Linked DNA regions of Neurospora crassa OR74A. The protein of the gene in region 1 binds, or shares a complex with, the protein of each later gene. Links are inferred from orthologs where the notes say so. Each region holds a gene or a part of one and is shown on either strand. Other genes may lie near its edges.

Evidence for each region. Proteins that work in one complex are often made in the same cells at the same time.
Region 2: NCU01831 (region 1) and NCU06646 share a complex: the UniProt entries of both Saccharomyces cerevisiae proteins name them as parts of the 7-subunit TFIIH core complex. The link is inferred for Neurospora crassa OR74A from reciprocal best matches to the Saccharomyces cerevisiae genes SSL1 and TFB5.

What each region holds. Positions count from the first base shown.
Region 1 is NC_026502.1:2,258,608-2,262,810, forward strand, and holds NCU01831 (RNA polymerase TFIIH complex subunit Ssl1), read left to right. Parts: upstream 1-1,288; 5' UTR 1,289-1,598; coding exon 1,599-2,128; intron 2,129-2,195; coding exon 2,196-3,075; 3' UTR 3,076-3,776; downstream 3,777-4,203. UniProt on the Saccharomyces cerevisiae protein: Component of the general transcription and DNA repair factor IIH (TFIIH) core complex, which is involved in general and transcription-coupled nucleotide excision repair (NER) of damaged DNA and, when complexed to TFIIK, in RNA transcription by RNA polymerase II.
Region 2 is NC_026505.1:4,109,290-4,112,418, reverse strand, and holds NCU06646 (RNA polymerase II transcription factor B subunit 5), read right to left. Parts: upstream 1,649-3,129; 5' UTR 1,424-1,648; coding exon 1,405-1,423; intron 1,264-1,404; coding exon 1,115-1,263; exon of another isoform or gene 996-1,114; coding exon 945-995; 3' UTR 811-944; coding exon of another isoform or gene 701-810; 3' UTR 620-700; downstream 1-619. Other genes in the region: NCU06647 (enoyl-CoA hydratase/isomerase), read left to right, coding at 1-122, 236-619, 701-810. UniProt on the Saccharomyces cerevisiae protein: Component of the general transcription and DNA repair factor IIH (TFIIH) core complex, which is involved in general and transcription-coupled nucleotide excision repair (NER) of damaged DNA and, when complexed to TFIIK, in RNA transcription by RNA polymerase II.

The DNA of each region.
Region 1 (4,203 bases):
GACCGAGGAGGACCATGAACAATCTGGCCCTTTTTGTGTGAAAATTTCGACCGCGTACGACTGATCGCGAGTTGGTTAATCAATTGCGCCCATACAAGCGGCTGAGGTATTACGTCAGAGGCGGCACAGGTCAGTCTTGGCCGTTGACCAGTGAGCGGGGATCTTTGGAAACCTCGGCCGAAGGTGCCGTGACGTAACGTCAATCCAGTTGGCGTTTCTTATTGGCCACCTGTCAGCGCGTAGGTCGCAGGCGAGCCACGATCAACCGCAGAGCTGGAACGGGCCGGCACGGGGCCGGCACATCTACATGTGCCTTACTACTAACGGCGAGGCTACTCCACGGCGCAACCTTTCATCGCATTTCACGATCCTACAATACCTCGCTACGAAGCTTCTGTCGGGCACATCACGCCAAGTACGCGGTCCGCTTTAAGGTCGCATCTTACTGCATTCCTTCATCGAGTATATGTACATAACTCGATGCAGTAATTAGCTTCGATCTTCTCTCCCCCATCTCCAGTAAGTATTGCTAGTTGTGCACTGCACTGTGACAGTTGTTTCGCTCAAGGTAAGGGTCGGTGTTTACCTGTTTCACCACATCACGAAACATGCGACTCACGCCATACGGTGTCTGTCTCGCTGGTGACCTTGCAGATTCATTGGACCACGATACCGAAACGGATATATGGACACATCAAAGCCGTGGACCCCATTCCGTCGTCTGGACTCTAGAATTCGGGAGAGCCCGTGCCCGGAATCCGGACCGGAACGGACAGTTGGACTCCCTGGCTGGCCGTTTTCCACGTGGGATTCCCATTTTGCCAAGCGATTTGACCGCACAAGTATCACGCACCCCCGCAGTACCGACGACGACCGATCCATGATTTATTTGAGCCTTGTATGCCTACATACTCTTTGAGGTTCTTGATTACTTCAACAGTCTGGTGAACCCCGGGCACAAGCATGTGAAAGTCGCAGGCCCCCGAAGGCATAGCCCTACATCGCCTCAAGACAATCCAGTGGCCCTTCTGGGTAGCGGGCACATCATGTAGTATATACTTGACACATATGCACGTCCTTTGAATGTCGTGACTCGTAACCAAGCTTCAAATCAGAGTTGACCTTCGCTTTGAAGTTGTGGTGGAACCAGATTTCGCTGTCGAATTTCGAGGCCCGTAGTTACACAAACGAGATGTCGGTACCCAGCACCGATCTGATTCGATTTCACAGGCCCCACTCTTCCTGCGAGGCTGCCTACATACACGAGTTCGCGCATTTGGGGAACAGCCTTGCAGTCCAGTAAACATTTCCGGCTTCCACCACACACCACGAACCTTTGTTCAGCTTGTGCATTCAACGTCGTCGCGTATCCCCTTTTCTCCATTCTTTCTTATTTCTCTCCGGCACTTTTTCAGCGCGACAACCAGTACCCGGCCTCCCGATCAACACCTACCAGGGAGTTGTCTACACGAACACGACTAAAGGCCCTGATTATCGAACTTCTGAACCTTCCACTCGTTTCGAAGTGACCCTCGAGCTTCTCCCACTAAGAGCGCCAGCTACTATCCGTCAAACTATCCCGACAAACATACGCAAACATGGCTGACTCGGACGGCGAGTACGCCTCCGACGATGAGCTCAAGAGGCATGGAAAGAGGACAGCGGACGGGCGCAGCAAGCAAACCAAGGCGTCATGGGAAGATGTTAAGCGCTCCTGGGATACCGTCTTGGAAACAGCGGACAGCGGCCTCTCCATCGCAGAGATTCGGGAGGCCGAGAAGCGGCGTCGCCTTCTGCGCGACACGACACCTCTTCAGCGTGGAATTATCCGCCATCTGATGCTTGTGCTCGACATGAGTTTCGCCATGGCCGACAAAGATCTGCTACCAAACCGTTACCGAGTCGTCCTAAATAACGCCATTGGCTTCGTACGCGAGTATTTCGAGCAGAATCCCATCAGTCAGCTAGGCATCGTGGGAATGCGCGATGGAATTGCTGTGCGAATAAGCGACCTGAGCGGGAATCCGGCCGAGCACATCGAAAAGTTGATGCAATGGAGCGAGCAACAAGACCCCCAAGGAAATCCGAGTTTACAGAATGCACTTCAAATGTGCCGAGGTGCTCTATAGTCAGCGCTACGGCCCACCCCCTCCGTGACAGAGGTCATTCGCTAACCGCTTCATGTTTTTGTACAGTCAAACGCCGTCACATGCCACGCGCGAAATACTGATAATCTACGGTGCCCTCGTCTCAATCGATCCGGGCGACATACACGACACCATCAACGACCTCGTAGCCGACCGCATCCGCGTCTCGGTCGTTGGCCTCGCCGGCCAAGTCGCCATCTGCAGCGAGCTTTGCAAGCGGACGAACAACCACGACGGCAACTACAGCGTCGCCGTAGACGAGGTGCACCTCAAGGAGCTCTTCTTCGCCGCCACCACTCCGCCCGTCACCCGCACGCCCGAGCAAAACACCGCCAGCCTGCTCATGATGGGCTTTCCCAGCCGCACGCTTGCTCCGAAAGACCATGTCAGCTTCTGCGCCTGCCACGCGAAGCCCACGCGCGAGGGGTACACCTGTCCGCGCTGCGGAATCAAAGTGTGCCGGCTGCCGATCGACTGTCCGATCTGCAAGCTGACGCTCATCCAGAGCACGCACTTGGCGAGGTCGTACCATCATCTGTTCCCGCTCAAGGTGTTTGTGGAGGTTCCGTGGTCTCAGGCGTATAAGTCGACGGCGTGCTACTCGTGCCTGACACCCTTTCCTGCTAGGCCAAGGGATTCAGTGGCGGCAGCGCCAGCTGTGTTAGGAGGGAGAGCCGGAGCTAAAGGTAGCGGGAAACAACAGGACGGCGAGCAGAAAAATCCAAAACCGGAACTCAAGGGTGTCAGCGAAAGCGGGCGGTATGCTTGCCAGGTATGCGGAAATCATTTTTGCATAGACTGTGATGTCTTTGCCCACGAGACTATTCATAATTGTCCTGGGTGTCAGAGCGATACGAGGGATGTGGAGAAGGATACGGCAGTAGCAGTACCAGACGGTGGCCCTACACCCATGGTGATGGATTCCTAGAGTGAGGAGCATGCTACAAATGGCGGCAGATGGAGGACAACAATTAGCCGCTCCGCTTGAACGTTTCAGATTCTTCGGGCGGAACCGAACCGGCCACTCTGGTTAAGAGCATCGATAGTATGGTATCGTGAACGAAAACGATACGATGACCCGAAACAGAGCAGTTTTAAGGGTATGGCGAACATATCTGTTACATGGAGGGGTTGGCGCTGCAAAGAACACGAAAATATACACGGCATCACGATCAAAATATACCCAGACGACTTGGCTAAGAAGAAAGTCCAAAGTGGAACTCCCAAAACCAAAGCTGTAAGGGACACCAGCCGAATAACTAGAGACGACGGGGTCATGGCTTCTTCATGCTCTTTACCAACAAGGCAGTGCAAAGGGATACTAGCGAAAGGGCTAAAGAAATGACGGGATCCAACAGATGTGAAATGGTCCTATGAATTCAAGAAGACGATTCGTTGGGTGTGGCGCATCTGTGAAGGAGATGGGAGACGGATATGGTTATGGAAGAATGATCAAGAAGACTCTTTGCGTATCGGTAGAGTCCCTTGTGACGAGGGGAAAGAGAGGACGGGCACGCAACGAATCATAGATGTGGAGTGATACGGCAATGTGAGATTTTGAGACCATACCAGCATCATCAAGTAGCGTACTAAAATAGCTAATCTTCATATGTCTACACGGTTCCGGTGATGTTCCGATAAAGGAAAAATCCTGCCCTTGAACAAATCGGACAAATTATATGCAAGTAGGTAGGAGTGCGTGGTGAAAAACGAGTGAAGAGCAGAATGCGAAAGGAACTTGTTGGGCGATCATGACTGGCGATTTATGAACAGGTCAACAAAATGTTTCAACCCCTCGTTTTCATTCGAAGCTAATACACCACCGTGAATTCGCTCATTACCTACAATTTCACATAGCTGATTTCAGAATGACAAAGTACTATGTAAGCACGTGTCAAAATCATCACATGATTTGCATAACTATGCCAAAGCTACTTTCATGCTCTACTTCTCGGTTTGAAGCCATATCGAAACCACAAACAAGTACTGTGCGCCTGCAAGATGCCATGCTAAGACCCTTCCGGCCAGCTCCCCTGCCGGCCGACCCCCAAGCTTT
Region 2 (3,129 bases), on another chromosome or scaffold:
CAGCTCGAACAACCAGCTGCAGTCGAGCGGCGCCCTCGACGTCGGGCGCAAGGCGGCCCAGTTGAGAAGATACATTACTGAATTTCAGGATAGCATTTCGGCTATTGAATTGTGCGAGAAACGTATGTATTGACTGTGCCGACTTGTCACTCTTCGTTACCCAGGGTGATATATATACGTCAAGCCAATGAACCAGTGCATGCGAATCTTGCTAACCTACAGAAACTCCCTGAAGCCGTCATCGTCGTCCTCCACGCCATCTCCCTCGGCCTCGCCATCGACATCGCCTGCGCCGCCGACATTCGGCTCTGCACGCGTGACGTTCGGCTGGCCGTCAAGGAGGTCGACATCGGCCTGGCCGCCGACATTGGCACGCTGAGCCGGCTGCCCAAGGCCGTCGGCAACTTCTCGTGGGTGAAGGAGGTATGCATGTCGGCAAGAGAGTTTGGCGCGACCGAGGCGCAACAGGTCGGCTTCGTCAGCCAAGTTCTCGACAGCAAGGTGGCTGCCCTGGATCAGGCGATCAAGCTGGCGGGCTTGATTGCTGGGAAGAGCCCGATTGCTGTACAGGGAACTAAGGAGTTGTTGAACCACGCAAGGGACCATTCGGTTTCTGAAAGTACGTTTCCTTTCTTGGTTTCTCTTCCTCCTCGTTGCTCGTTATCGTGAAGGAAAGGCTAAACTGATAATTTTGACACAGGCTTACGGTATACCACCGTCTGGAACTCGGCTGCTTTGCAATCAAGAGATATGATGGACGCGTTATCGGCTAGTGTGCAGAAGAAGAAGCCCGTCTTTTCAAAGCTTTAAAGAGGATCAAGTAGTCCATCGCAGGCTGGTAACTGCTACGCAGTGTTGAAGGTGTATAAATAAATGCATGTAATTCGGGGGGGTTCAGCGACTTGAAGTCACTACGTATGCGTCTCCTATTTACTAGGCAACTCCTAGTCACTATCTGCCAGCGGTTCCTCGGGCCTGTATGTTTCCTTCAGGCGCTGTTGTAGGTAGGAAAGTGTCAGCCAGAGGAAGGTGATATAATCGGACATGATATCTAGTTCACGATGCGGGCCAAACGGTCACACTGGACAAAGCAAAGGGGAAGCATATGACTTACGTCCTCGAGTTTCTGTTTGAGCAGTTGCACCATGTTTTCCTTAACAACCAGGGTCTGCTCATCAAGATCTTCGATGATGATATCGTTGTTAACACTATCCAAGTGAACGATGATGGACTTGATGGCTGGTTCGCACTGGATGAGTACACCTGAGCCAGGGACCAGTGTTAGCAGGGTGAGTATTTGTTTTGCGTTAGAGTCGTGCTGTGCTGTTGCTTATGAATGAGTCTTGACTAGACAAGCCCATGTACACGTCATTTATATGGTATTTCATGGGAATCCATACTGACCTCTGATTGCTCTCGGCATCTTGAATAGCTGTAGTTTCTGGCGGGATGGCAAAATGTCCTGTGATTTTTTTATGTCGCCGTAGCCCTCATCAAGTTGGCCTTTTGGGTATATGCTCTGAGAACAATGTCGTATGCGACGTGGTTTGGAATGTATCGGGCTGTGCTGGTTGTTGGTCGGGATATGGTTGGATCGTTAGATGGTTGGCGTGGAAGAAATGGGTTTGTGTTGCTGTATGGTAACTCAAATACAGCGTTTGAGCGTACAATTTGTTGGCAGCGCCTTCTCTGTAACGACGCGAGCAACCTGGCATGAAGTGACAGAGAAGCAGCGGCAGACACGGGTACCTACGTACGCTTGCAGAATACGGAACATTACGTAGGTACATACGTTCGGGTTCAGGTCAGAAAACTTGCCTTGCGATTACATACCCGCAATTATACTTACTGAACCTTGAATCCAGGTGCTGTCCCTCCAGATCAGATGAATAGATGATGAGGGCATCATGACCTTCACTTCAACCTCAATTGCAAGAACAGTGTGTATAGATGATTCTCACATTCCCTTACCAACAAGCTTCAACAAATAATTCGTCCATGAGTGGCCGGCTGGTCTGGATGATCACATTGGATCTTACTTAATGGAAACCCCGAATGTGATCAAAGCAGTCACAGGCAAGGGGGGACAATGGCGTCTCCAAAAAAACGAATCCTGTAACCACTTTCCCACTCTGTGTGGCCGTTTCGGGCCCTGGACGCTGCCAGGGATCGCTGGGCGGGAAGGCTTAACCGCTTGCAGTAAACCACCCCACCTTTTCGCTTGAGAGTGCCAGCGTGGGAGCGGAGATCGAATCTCAAAACTCGTGCCAATCGCAAGCTCAGATTAGTGATAGTATGGCTCGGATATTGGGTGCGGGTACTGAGTGGTGCCTAGACTGAGAGTTGGGAGTATTTCACGAGGATCCAGGGCAGGGAGCTGCGATGGAGACCAAGAAATATCTTTTCTGTCCAGGGAGTCCCAAAACCCTCTTGTTTGCTCCTGGATTGCCTTGCGGCGCAGGGACCGAGGTAGTATGTCGTTGGCTGACAATGATGAAATAGGTGCAGCAAACCAACGTACCCTACCCGTTCAAAACATGCCATGTCCAGTCTTTTATCCGTCTTGAGAATGAAAAAGAAAAAAGGAAAGGAAAGTAAGAAAAAGAAAAGAAAAACAAACGTCGATATGACGAGGGCGGATAGAGGTGACTAGGTACGACTTGCCGATGGCGGTTTCAGATTCTGTGCATCGGGAGCTCGATAACCGGTAGCGCCTTGTTACACCAAACTGAAATGTGACAAAAGTGAAAGACCCGATGAACTGTCGAAGATGTGATCGCAAACGAAGCCCGCATTCTTGAACATGGCGGTGCTTCCTTCCGTTCTGAAGACGACCTTCTGGAAGCGCGAGAAGAAGACCAGGGCCAAGACATGCCTCATTACTGCACTTGCCGTTGCCGTACAAGTTCGTTGTGTCGTCTGGCTGCGGTCAATCCTACGGTGTAGTGACCCGCGCTGCAGTCAGAATGCCCGCACCGCACCCAGATAATAAGGTTGGGCAGTTGGTGAAATTACCTCCATCGACTGCAACCTCAGGTGCTACCCTGCATTGCAGATCACAGTATCCCCCGGCTTCACAAAAAGACCACTGCAGTGAAGCACTCGGGCTGTCACTGGACAGTTGTTTCA